Drosophila melanogaster: one gene and its partner. The protein of the gene in region 2 binds, or shares a complex with, the protein of the main gene of each other region. Each region holds a gene or a part of one and is shown on either strand. Other genes may lie near its edges. The genes, in order: Not10 and Rga.

Region 1 (4,878 bases), 7.0 Mb from region 2:
TCGGGAATACCGAGTGCCCCGCGAGTTACTCAGCCAAACGTCAAAGCAGGCGTCGGCCAACATGAATGGCAATGCATCCCGAGGTCCATTCACTAGGAAAACATCCGAGGAGGCGGTCATTCCGTGCTGGAAGAGAACCGCCGGCTTTGTTCCAGATTGCTCGCAATAGATTGAGTTCGGTATGCGGAACGCGTTGAGTAAATACCCATCTCGTGTGACCACTGTGTGAATTTCCACCGGATAGTTGTGCGAGGCTATGATTTCGGCCTTGGAAAAGAGAGCGTAGCACTTGCCTATAGCTATAATTATCGACTAAAAAGCACTTACAGAAGTTATTCCATTGACTATTTGAGTACAGACACTCAGAATGACAAGCGTTTTATACGGCATTTCGAGTAAGAGTAACTTGCACAAGTCAAAATAATTCTGACCCAACTTTTAAAATTCCTGAGATAGATACTTAAAATTTAAGTGTCCAACGCTTTAACGTAGAGGGTAATCTAATTTGTAGAATTCCTATGAAAAAGTCTCAATGACTGGAGTATGCAAAAGTTCAACGTAAAATATTGTGAGATAATTTGCTATTGCCAACACCAATTCTCTGTGTACAAATATATAAGCACATATGGATTAGTTAACAGACATTGTTTTATACACCTTGTTTGCACCCTGTAAAATGCTGAAAAACTGATGATCGTCAAACAAATAGTTCGCTTCCTCGTCATTTCATTCTTGCACTTTAATTCCGTCTAGTTATATACACAATTTGTTGTCTAACTCGGCGTCCCGCCAGGAACGGGACCCATTTTGAGGTCCATGAAGCGTCGCAAAGCAAGCGCCTTGTTGGCAACCAGCGAATGAGTTAAATTGGCCAGGAGTGCTTTAGCTTGAGGCAGGTCGTTCTGTAGAGCCATGGCAACGGCCAGATTATACCGCACAACGTTCTGAGCGGCGTCCACCGACTTCAGTTGCCAGTCACGCGTCTCAAAATCGAAGGCGTTTAGTGTGCCCACAAAAGTAGGGTCCAAATGGTCGCGTGCCTCGCTGGCCTTGTCCATAAGCATCAACGCCTCGCCAGCGTACATGTGACCTAGCAATCTGAAGAAAAAAAGGTAAATATGTTAAACCAAACATGGGAAGATTAAATAGAAACTGTATTGTACTTGTGTGCATCGGACAAGCGTTCACAGGCCAGCAGTTTTTCCGACATCTCGAGCGCGGTCACATGATCGCCTAGGCGCAGCGAGACGAAGCTGTGAGCAGCATATATGGCAGCCATCATGTTTTCCAAAGACTCTAGGCTGACTGGCTTCGAGGGATTGCAGAAGTTATTGTCCTGGGGATGACGCCAACTCTCCTGAGTTGGGTCCTTGGGTTCGGGTGCTTCCACATCCTCCGAGGAGACCGCCGCCATGTGAAACCTCGTCTTGTAGTGCTGCGTAAGCGTTAACGCGCTACGTAGACACAAGACAGCGAATTCCAGCGTGGGCTCTGGAACTCCCGCCGATTGAGGACTAAAATTAGGAAAAGTTTACTACCAGCAATGAACTAAGCTAACGAATTAGCACTTACGCGTATGGCTTTGTTGATGGCGTTTCTGACTGCGACTGGCGCTCCTCCTCCACTAGTTTCTTTAAAACAAAATAAAATAATTTGAGATTTAAGACAAATAAATACCCTATTGTGACTCTATTGTACTAGAACATGTTAGTGTAAAGTTGTCTTACCGCCTCATGCTCCATGATGCAGGCCTCAGCCATGCGCAGCCAAAGACGTGGATTGCTGTGGAATTGCTTAACGGGAACCAGAAAGCACTGAAACGCCTCCTTGGGGCGTCGTAGGTGCAACATGGCCACACCGAGGTTGTAAAGGATCTCGCAGGACCGTGCCGAACTCATGGTTTGCAGCGTACTCTGGCGCAAATTTCGCGCCAGCTGCTGGTCAAAGTTGAGCGCATTTTGGAAGAACTTGGCGGCGATGGCATAGTGACGCACTCTTAAGTGTATCACTCCCATATTGTTGGCAATGCACGTGCTCAGCTGGGGGGTTATAGTGCTATTAAGATAGACAATAAAATAGTATGTCTTCTTTGAACTTAAAATGAAGCAGACTCACCCCGCTTGTGTACACTCGTTATTGATTCGCATAAGCTGCTTGGCGGCCATCTGAAAATCCTTCATGATGTAGTACTGCTGAGCCTTCAGAGCAGCGTACTCCGGCGTGCCGTCTTCCTGAATAACCACCGGTTTTCGGTTAAGCACGAGCGTTATTAGCTGCAAGAGCTGCAGACTACCGCCCAGACCGGGCACAGCTCCCTCCACAGCTGCTCCTCCTGGTGAGGCCACCACTGAACTGTTCGTCGCTGCTGACGGAGGTGCTGTGCCGACAACAGCTGCCTCTTCGGCCGCATTGCTGCTAGGCGCTGTGGCCACCAGGTTAAGCTTGTACTGCAAGTAATCCAGAAAGGCCTCGGCTCGGTTTAGTTGATTGGTGGCCAGCAGCAGCTGTAGCTGTAGTGTGGCCACCAGCGCTGCCATTGCCTTCTCCAGGGCTTCCAGACGAGCCACTAGTGGTGCTAGTTTCTCCAGTGCCGTGCCGAACATATGGCGGTGATAATAGATGACCGCCCGGTTGTAACGAGCAACAGTGGCGGCGGCAGCTCCCTGCTTAAGGCTCAGCCCGCTGGACACGTCTCCGGGCGCATCTGCATCGGCGGTTAGAGCCTCCAGTTCTTTCAGCAGGACGGAGTGTTGGGTGCACCCGGTTTTGTAGTAGCTGACCACCGCCCGGTTGTGCCGCAGGACAGGACCACTGCTCTCGCCGCGCGTCTCCAACTCCTGGAGCAGTTCCAAGCAGCGATCAAACTCCGAGCTAGAATGAGGAGCAGCCGGAAAGGAGTGGCGGTTATGGGTGCACTTCCCGGTGACACGCGGATGAACACTCACTTGTTGAACTGCTCGTGCGCCTGGCACAGCAGACTGTAGTTCTCGTCCTCGCCGGCCTGCGTTTTGGTGGGGGATTCCGCCGAGTCCATGCCAAAAATAAATAAAAACAAAAAAACCGAACCAATCCACAGATGACACAGCGTTGCCAGAATCAACAAGCACAGCGTTGCCACTTTTAACCGTAACTAAAGCGGTTAACCTTATTAATAAATAAGTTAATTCTTAACATTAAACAACTTGTTAAATTTCTTGTTAATTTATTAATTAAAAATTAAATTGTTAATATGAACAAATTAAAATATATTCTATATAAAATTTTAACTTTACAATGGTCAAATTGGCATTTTGCTGTCGATAGGTGGCAGCACATCACTAGTCTAGATTTGCAGCGCGCGAAACCTATACCTTTATTTCAACTGAGACTTTTGTTTGTGATGATATATAATATTTAGAATAATAAAATATCCATTTATCGTTTACAATTTTTGATCCACCTACCCACCCAACTGTAATTATCCTTGCATTCAATCGAAGTTTCCTGTTTCATCATATTGTTATTAATCCTCGCCTGGTTTATATGATGGGAACTACATAGATTCAACATCGACCAGTTGAAGAACAAACTTCCATCCCGCAGAATTGGCTAGGAAAAAGGCTAATATTTTATACAAAACTCAACTTAATCTTCAGTTGCGCATCATTTTCAAGCACATTCAAATAATATCAGCAGTTCAATATTTTTGAATTATTTTAATTTGATTCGAAGTACAATATTATTCACTAAACTGTTTCAAAATATTCAATAATTTGCATACACTTACAAGGGATCGATTTTGGGGTCAGGATGGCTCCCTTATTTTATTTGCTGCTTCATTACCGCTGCAATGGTTCAAAACGAAGAAACTGAGGATCGGGAAAATGGGAGGGGCAGCTCCTACTTTCGAGACTCATTTAGCGAGGGCGTAGTAGGCATGTCTTATGTACACTATTCGTAAATATGTGTATTGTGTATAATATATATATATGTGTATGTATATTGTTATGTATACCATATAAACTTGAATTTAGCATTAAAAATTCCCAATGCTGGTTTTTAACTAATCCCCGGGGGCTGAGAGGGGCTCAACATTAACTGAGCAGCAGCACTTCCCGCCTCGTATCGCGTCGCATAACAGATCCCTTCTCCACCAACCTACATCATCGCTCATCTGCTCCATCCTCCTCCAATCCGGGCAAGCACACACATTCACACGGCTTCCCATAAAGATTTCGTAGCAGGTTTGTTCGTTCGAGTTTTTGCTTCATTGCATTGCTATGGTTAGGGGGTTTCGATTGCGCCGGACTAAGCTGCTTATGTGTTCCGAATCTTGCCGGGCACGTAGTTCTTATCTATGACATTCTCCTGCAGGAACATATGCAGGCAGCGCTCGTTCTGCGCCAGCGGATGTCCGGCTATCTTGTTGATGAAGGCCTCCAGTCCCTTGCGCCGCTCCTCGATGAAGCTTTCGTCAAAGATGCCCTCGTCGCCGCGGAAGGGCATCTGCCGCTTCCATGCCTTTCCTGGGAGTGGTGGCACCACAATCTGCGGGGATATGTATGTTCATGATTAAATACTCTTCAGGCGCTTATCGAAGTTTCCGTTTTCACTTATAAAACTCAGGGTTAAGTTTCCTCTTAAGGATTGAAACTTTTCTAGTGGCTTCTTATAATTACAATGTATTGTTTCGTAATTCTATCTAAATAGATTCTGAATAGTGCGGATTTTGAATCTATTAAAGTGAAAACGAAAGACTACCGCCTGGATCACACTTGTCCGTACCTTGCTATCCCGCTCCAGCTCGTTTCGCAGCCACTCAAAGTCGCTGTAGCGTCGCCTGACACTGGACTCCTTTACCTTAAAGACGGGCAGATTGGTCTAAAAAAGGAGCGATGG
Region 2 (7,711 bases):
TAACTTGCTTTTTAATTTAATGGGAGTCCGCTCATTTCATAATATCGAACAGCTAAAAAATGTTACATTTCAAAGATATTCTAAAAATATGAATACCAACTAGACTCCAGCAGGATAAAAATAAATCGCTTTAAATTGTTAACCGGCAATTTGTACCAGAATTTGCACATACATACATATGCATATATGTATGTATATATATCCTAACACCGTTTTAGAAGAAAAACTCAAATGGATTGTTTTTAATTTTTATAATAAAACTTATTATTCAGTTAGTGTTGAGTGTCCTTGTTGCAATGCAAAAACAACAGCATACTTTCTTTTTCAATTTTTTTCATTTTTATTAATTTTATACAGACTGTCCATTCATAAACGCACTTATATTGGGACATTTATCTAATTTCTCGGGATCTATTTGGAAAACCTTGGACAAACGTTTCCAACTTTGCGCATCAAAGTAGTAGAAGGTGCCGCGCTCTTTTGTACCATTTTTTTCATATTGATCAATGCCAGGAATTCGAGTTATCCATATTTTCTCCTCCACGTGGTATCGCCACTCGCGACTATGCCTGCGATGGGAGCAGAATTTTAGTATATATGTATGTTCTATATATGTTCATACGAAGCTTAGATAATAGCTACGCAAGAGGAAGTACTCACAATTCAGCAGCTGCCATCAATTGCATCATATCGCCGATGTTCGTGTAAAAAAGGAAAAAGAGCAGGTCTTCTTGCAGCTTTTTCAGTACCGGCGCTGTTAGTTTGTCTCTTATCGCAAAGTTAATCAGATATTCGGGTGGCACGTTGAACTCAACGTCTTGTGCTCTGAAAAAAGTAAATGCAAATCCAATGTTACTAATTTGGTACACCTCTTACTCAATAGTACTCAATAAGCAATTAAATTATGTAAGTTTATTATGTAAACTGACCTGCAGGGCTGTGCTACGAAGGGGCCAGCGAAGGTTGTATGCAAGCTCTCCTGCGAGTTCAGGTTCAGGCCTAAACCCGTGAGATCCGTACCCAAGGAGAGCGTCACCAGATTGGGATCCGTTTCTGCAGCCCGAATGAACGTCAGCAGGCCAACCATGCCGAACTGGTTGTTCACCATGGTCGCTGGTATGTTTGTGACCTTCCCTATTTATGCAAAACGAACGAAAGGTAAATTTGTTACATTTTTAAATAAATAAAATATTTCATGGTACTATTATTTCTGGATAAAATGGGTCAAGGATAGTATAGCTGTTGGGCTTTTGTGATGTACACCGAAATCACCGAATTATAATATGAAACAAATAATAATAGAAACCAAGAAATCCATTGATTAAATGGTATCAATCATCCATAGAGTGTTCAATTCAAAGCTCCAAATGATCAAAAGGTCAAAAATAGCTCTCTCACATGTTGTGAGAAGTGTTCCAGCACTCACCATCTGGCGAAGTTTGCACGCCGCTCTTTACAAGTTTATCGTTGCTGGAATTATCGTTCAGATGCTCGCCGCCCGCTCCGCTCCCAGACGAGCCGCTTCCACTCCCCAGGCCGCCGCCTACGCCCATCATGGCATTGCTGTTGGGTACGCTGTTGACGCCGCCAATGCCGCTGTTACTGCCCACCAGTCCTACATGGGACCCGCCGACAACGCCGCTGGCTGCATTGCCGCCGACTCCTCCGCCTCCTGAGCTACCAGCTCCTCCGCCGCCGCCTACTGCCAAGCCCCCTATACCACTGCCAACGGCACCGAGACCATTGCCGCCTACAACGCCGACGTTGGAACCGCTGCTGCCGCTCGCTGATCCGCTGACCACTATCGAATTCATCGGCTTTTCCGTGCCGTCCAAGTGGTTCTCTGTGGACGCACCTCCGGAGCCTCCTGTTCCGGCGACGCTCCCCACCGCGTTCGTTGTGCCGTCCGAGTTTTGGGTGCCCGGTAACGCAGGGAAGTCCTCGTTAGACATCGTGAACTCCGATTGCTCTGACGTCGGTTGCTTCACCATGCCAACTGAAATCAGAAGAGGAGCGAGATGGTCGCCCAGGGCGAATGAGTGAAGCGAAGAAATTAGTACTAAAGCAGTTTAAGCTCATACAATACACACGATTTTAGTTAATTTCTTTTTCCTCAACCAATTAAAATCAATGAGTAGGTCCAAACAGCATTTGTTCAAGGTTTTAAGACATGTTACTGTGAATTTAAAGTTATCCTTCACCTATATATGAACTTATAAAAGGTTAAGTCGCTTGCTTTATGTGAACAGTTTCTTTTTATTCATTGATCATGTTTCAAAGTAAATGAGATTGCATATAATAATATGTTTGGAGTATAATCCGGAAACACAATTTCATTTCAAACTCTAAATTGCAAAAGCTCTTCATGGAATCAGAAGCCCGTATTCGGTTGGACCAACGTAGCCAAAGTAAATGTCCTTGACTGAATCTAGTTTTTGCAGCGTTTGCCATACCCAAACCAACACCCGAGGTTAGTCCCAAATACAGCGTAGCATATCTAAGTGGGCTTAATGAGCTGATCACGAGACACCACGCTTACAACCGATTCTTAATCGTAGTTTTAAAAACAAAAATAAATAAAAAGAAGTGGATTTTGATTTGAACTCACAAGAGGTAAAGAAATTACCATAGGGTTTGCTGCCCGGCGGCTGGAGCGGATTCGATTGGGGCAGTGTCTGGTCGTTCTGGCCGCGCGCATTCGTCAGCGAGGGGAACTCCGTGGGATCGAGCAGGGCAGGCGTGGAGGTGTCGCTACCACCGCCGCCGCCGAACACGTGGAAGTTATTCAAAGGACCGCCACCGCCTCCGCCCGTTCCGTAGCCGCCGCGACCCGTCTGCATGAAGTTGCCCATGTTCGACTGCGGAAAGAGATAATGATTAGCCAAGTCTTAACAATTTATTTTTAGAATTAGGACTGACATCTCCAACTCAATCTTAATAGAGGGTATATTTTTTATGTAATGTGAAAGCATTTGTAACTTCTGAAATTAATGTATATTCCGTTGTATCAAAAATATTTCCTTTATATAAATCTGATCGATCAGCGATACGATTCTCTGATGCAATCCGAAGTATTGAAGTACTAAACCCACAGTCAATGGATATAGATATTGTTATATGTTTTACTTTGAGTATCTTGGACAAGACCGAGTTGGAGGAGTTAGACTTTGTTGTAATGCCGCGCTGCTTACCATGGGGCCACTGCCCAATCCTTGCATGGCTCGCCGCTCCACAAACTGACGCTGGCCGAAGAGGTTGGCGTTGCGGTTGCCGCTCGAGATGGCGGGTCCGCCGACCGACAGCTGGGCATTCCGGTTCGGCGACAGTTGGGGCTGCTGCTGCTGTTGTTGCTGCTGCTGCGGCGCCTGTCCGTAGTTCGCCGTTCCTGGATAGGAGTTGGCGAAGTCTAAGGCAACAAATGTGAATTGGTGCTCCGTCAAAAGCTTTGGGCGACAAGTGCTTACCGGTTTGAAACATGCCCGACGTGGGCGTCACATGGCCAGCCAGGGAGCTACCACCGAATCCGCCTGTTGTCCGGCCAGCTAACGCCGCGTTCGCTATACTTCTCGGGGGTTGTTGAAAATTTAAATTCGCCATAATCTGCAATGGAAGGGGTTGTCGGTTATTAGGCTGTGGCCTTGCTTTGCTTATCTACCCATAAAGAAAAACCCATATCGTATCCGCGTCGACATCGAAGTATCACTTAAGCAGTAATCACTTAAATGTAATAGTATAGGGATTTCCTTTTGGCAAAAACAAACTAATATATATTTATTTTGGAGATTATTACGCGTTATATAACATTACGGTTAATACGAGCAATTGGGAATATGCTGGATGATTCGCAACATAAATTCTCGAAGCCATCTGCGCAGCAATCAGAGAACTGCTGTCAAATGTCTGAATCAGGGAAACTCTTCGCCCATAAACAAGGGTTTACAATAAAAACTGTGTGATTCAGTGGAGGGGGACTATATTGATAACAAATTGGCTCCCCGCAGATAATTGTCGCACACTAAATGCGAGTATATGCGTATTGAGCAAACAAACCAACAACCTTGTGGGTTAGCAGCCTGGAGCCATATATATGAAAAGGTTATCTTAACGGCAAAATGGGATCCCAAAAAAGGGCCACCATCTATAGTATATCTATAAACAAAATAGCCCGCGCCAAGTGAATCCGTTAAATGGCCGACGCATCAGCTGTCGATTGGCGAAGCGAATTCGGACAGCAAACAGAGCAGAAGGAGAAAAGGAGAGCAAATTGAGAGGCAGAGCAAGGAGGTGGAGAACGAGAAGCATGGGCAGAAAGGCTGTGGCAATTATTGCCGTTCCTCTTTGTCGTGGGCACACTCATGCACAGACCGTGTGGATAAGATGGAGACCAAGACAATGGCGATGGTGTGGGTGAGAAAACCAGAATGACTGCCACCAGGGTGCAAGGGAGTGGGTGGAGAGCGGGGCAATGCAAAAGGATATAAGCCTCAACTTGTCCCTCGATCAATTATGCAGGCAGTGGTCAGTGCAGTGCAAAAGGTGTACAGTAAAAACAGTTAACATTGTAAAATACAAAGCTTTATACCTTATCTCCACTACTGGCCAAACCACTACCGAGTTAGTCGAATTTCGTTTACTTCACTACGAAAGCTCCAGTTAGGTTTTGATGCTGCTTGCTAGTACCATAATATGTAAATAACCCTTCCTATGGTAAAGACCGGCTTTATCTTATCGAAACTTCAACGTGCGCTGAACTCGCCTGGAATGCAAGATATACTAGCACAGGATGCCAGTGCATTTAATTTGAAAGGAGCAAATCTTCCTGGAATACGGGAGCTGTCGATTAAATTGATGTTTTACCTGCACGCATGTAACTTTATCAGCTGACCTAACAGACGCTTCCCAACACTGGCGACCGCGCTTACAACAAAATTCAATGGCTAGCGTTAACTCTGGGGACAAGTGTTTAACCAACCATTTAACCTCGGGCGATTCAGCAAGTACAAAATAAGAACGACGGATCCGAAAGGAGGAATGCGCGCAACTTACCTAAATTAACGTTAGACGATACTGTCGCTTCTTGTTCTTCCACTGTTAACGCTCGCTTTCCACTCTGTCCAGCAACAACAACATACACTGATCGAATCGTTCTCACCGCATTTAACATTCCAAAGCGGCCGGCGGGACGAGGACGTAGGAGTCGTTGTCCTGGCGCCGTAACCGTAACTGTGACGGATCACGGATCGGCGAATCAGCAGGAATATGAAAGTCCGCTAACTCCCACTGGGCAGCTGTTGGTTAGCTGTGGGTGTCTCGGTCACTAGCACTCACTCGCTGGAAGCTGAAAGGATGCAACGGAGAAACGGGAGCTGGAACCGTAGCGGGTGTAGGAGCGGGAACGAGGTTAGTTAGTACTTTTCCGCGCCGAGTCGTCCCTAAATAAATGGCATATATACCGCTGTGCGTGTGTGCATATGTATATGTGCCTCGTCTGTATGCAGCGTGGTCTTCGTGCCGAAGAGACAGCGAGCGAGAGAGAGAGAGAGAGGAGAGGAGAGTCGAAGGATGTTGATGCCTGGCGGAGGCTAAAAGTTGTCCGTTTTTTCTGCGCCGCTCTTGCGACCACTGTAGTTTCTATATTCACGCTTATGCAAATGTCGCGCACGTTACACTCGGCCGATTGGATTGGCCAGGGCTCTCGCTTTTTGTTAATGTTTCCGTTTTGTATTTTATTTGTAAGTAAATAATCGCTCGCTATTGCGCTGTTGTCTCTGCTTCTTACTACACTGCTGCACAAGCACTGTGTCTGTGACCCTGTGCGTGTGTTTGTGTGTGTGTCTGTCTTTGTTTTCTCAGTTCATTGAAATTTCACCCGAAGCAGCGAATTGGGCAAATTCCCTGCTAGATTTGCGCGTCTTTTACGCCGCCGACCCGCAAATGCACTCGAACTTAATGGAGCCGGGTCCTTACGATCCACTATCGAGGGGCAGTAAACAATTCTTTAGCGCCCGAAATGGCTTTAAATTGTACACAAAAAATGTTCCGCAAAAAACTTTGTGGCTGTCACGAATACAAACACACAAGAATTAGGGATGTAAAAATCTGCTATCGAGACAGCGTTGGTATCGATAGTAGTTAGTTTGCAACGAGAGGGTTTGGTGCATTGATTACTGTATATTTCAAAGAATATTCGAATTGTTTTCTTTAAAGACAACAATTTTATTCGCCTTTGCGATTGGTAAAATAGTTGTTTACTTTTAATCGATAGACAAAAACAGTTATTGGGCTGCCATCTGGGGCGTCTATGCGAAGACCTCTTTGCGTATTTCAGTTATCGATTACTGTGACAGTGCCTAGACCTCCTAAACTCAACTTTATTGCCCGGCCGCGAATTGTCTTGATTGCAGATTTTCCGATTTTAAACAAAATTTACTTGGCATTATGGGCAGCCAAAACTCGGACGACGACAGTGGTGAGTGGCTAATGGCTAAGTCCAGGCCTGAGTAACTAATATTTACACTGTTCACATATGTATGTAGGTTCATCCGGTTCGAGTCGAAGTGGAAGCCGCAGTGTCACGCCGCAAGGAGGTAGTGCGCCCGGGTAACTATTTGATATTCAAACACGGCGGCGGGAGAGTGCTGATTACCTTCCCCTCGTTTTCCAGATCCCAACGCAGTCGCAGGTCGGGTAGTGGCAGCGATCGTTCCCGATCGGGCTCCAGGTCTTCCCGATCCCGGTCCGGCTCTGGGTCTCCGCGTAGTGCCAGGTCCGGGTCTGCAGAAAGCCGCCACTCGCAGCTGTCTGGCTCCGCTCGTAGTAAGAGATCAAGATCTGCTCACAGTCGCAGGTCGGGATCTGCGCGTAGCCGTAAATCTGGAACTCCGGAATCTCCACAAAGTCACAGATCAGGTTCGTTGCAAAGTCGCAAGTCAGGATCGCCTCAGAGTCGTAGATCTGGTTCTCCCCAAAGTCGCAAATCGGGATCTACTCACAGCCGCAGATCCGGTTCGGCCCACAGTCGCAGATCGGGATCCGCTCGGAGTCGCAAATCTGGTTCGGCACAAAGTGACCGCTCTGAGTCTCGATCGAGGTCTCATAGCGGTTCACTCAAGGGCAACGAGGAATCGCGGTCTAATTCGCCCAATCTGCAAATTGACGTAGAGCGTGCCAATTCCAAGAGCGGCAGTCGCAGCAGAAGTAGGAGCAGGAGTGGCAGTCGCACTTCCAGATCGCGTTCCAAGACGGGCACGCCGTCGCCCAATAGAAGTCGTAGTGGCAGCGCATCCGGCTCCGGCAGCGATGTGGGTGTGCCCAAGAAGAAGGCACGCAAGGCGAGTGGCTCCGATCAAGAGAAGAAAAAGAGCGGCAGCGATAGCGACATTGAGGAATCGCCCACCAAAGCTAAGAAGTCACGGCTGATCGACACTGATAGCGATTCCAATCAGGATGTGGTAAGGCACACCACTCTGAACTACTCAACTATATTGTTATTTATCTAGTTCTATAATTAAGGAAAAATTACCCTGATATATGTACATTTCAATTATGCAGGGAAAGAAAGCTCCGGCTGCAGCTGACATATTTGGAGATGCCGATGATATAAGTGACGATGAGGATGAGGCTGGACCAGCTGCCAGAAAATCCCCAGTGCGCTCCAAGAGCCGCAGTCAAAGCAAGTCCCACTCCCACAGTCGTTCTATGAGCCACTCGC

The links.
Region 1: Rga (region 2) and Not10 share a complex: the UniProt entries of both Drosophila melanogaster proteins name them as parts of the CCR4-NOT complex.

What each region holds. Positions count from the first base shown.
Region 1 is NT_033777.3:12,628,871-12,633,748, reverse strand, and holds Not10 (CCR4-NOT transcription complex subunit 10), read right to left. Parts: upstream 3,103-4,878; 5' UTR 3,035-3,102; coding exon 2,946-3,034; intron 2,872-2,945; coding exon 2,116-2,871; intron 2,056-2,115; coding exon 1,728-2,055; intron 1,632-1,727; coding exon 1,573-1,631; intron 1,515-1,572; coding exon 1,164-1,514; intron 1,099-1,163; coding exon 774-1,098; 3' UTR 561-773; downstream 1-560. Other genes in the region: CG18530 (uncharacterized protein), read right to left, coding at 1-267, 328-390; Snx3 (sorting nexin 3), read right to left, coding at 4,297-4,527, 4,765-4,860. UniProt on the Drosophila melanogaster protein: Component of the CCR4-NOT complex which is one of the major cellular mRNA deadenylases and is linked to various cellular processes including bulk mRNA degradation, miRNA-mediated repression, translational repression during translational initiation and general transcription regulation.
Region 2 is NT_033777.3:5,607,024-5,614,734, forward strand, and holds Rga (regena), read right to left. Parts: upstream 6,090-7,711; 5' UTR 5,047-6,089; intron 3,601-5,046; 5' UTR 3,598-3,600; coding exon 3,465-3,597; intron 3,407-3,464; coding exon 3,192-3,406; intron 2,859-3,191; coding exon 2,609-2,858; exon of another isoform or gene 1,997-2,608; coding exon 1,427-1,996; exon of another isoform or gene 1,230-1,426; intron 1,159-1,229; exon of another isoform or gene 1,135-1,158; coding exon 930-1,134; intron 864-929; exon of another isoform or gene 826-863; coding exon 661-825; intron 570-660; coding exon 350-569; 3' UTR 252-349; downstream 1-251. Other genes in the region: Atu (another transcription unit), read left to right, coding at 6,439-6,469, 6,537-6,600, 6,665-7,451, 7,552-7,711. UniProt on the Drosophila melanogaster protein: Component of the CCR4-NOT complex which is one of the major cellular mRNA deadenylases and is linked to various cellular processes including bulk mRNA degradation, miRNA-mediated repression, translational repression during translational initiation and general transcription regulation.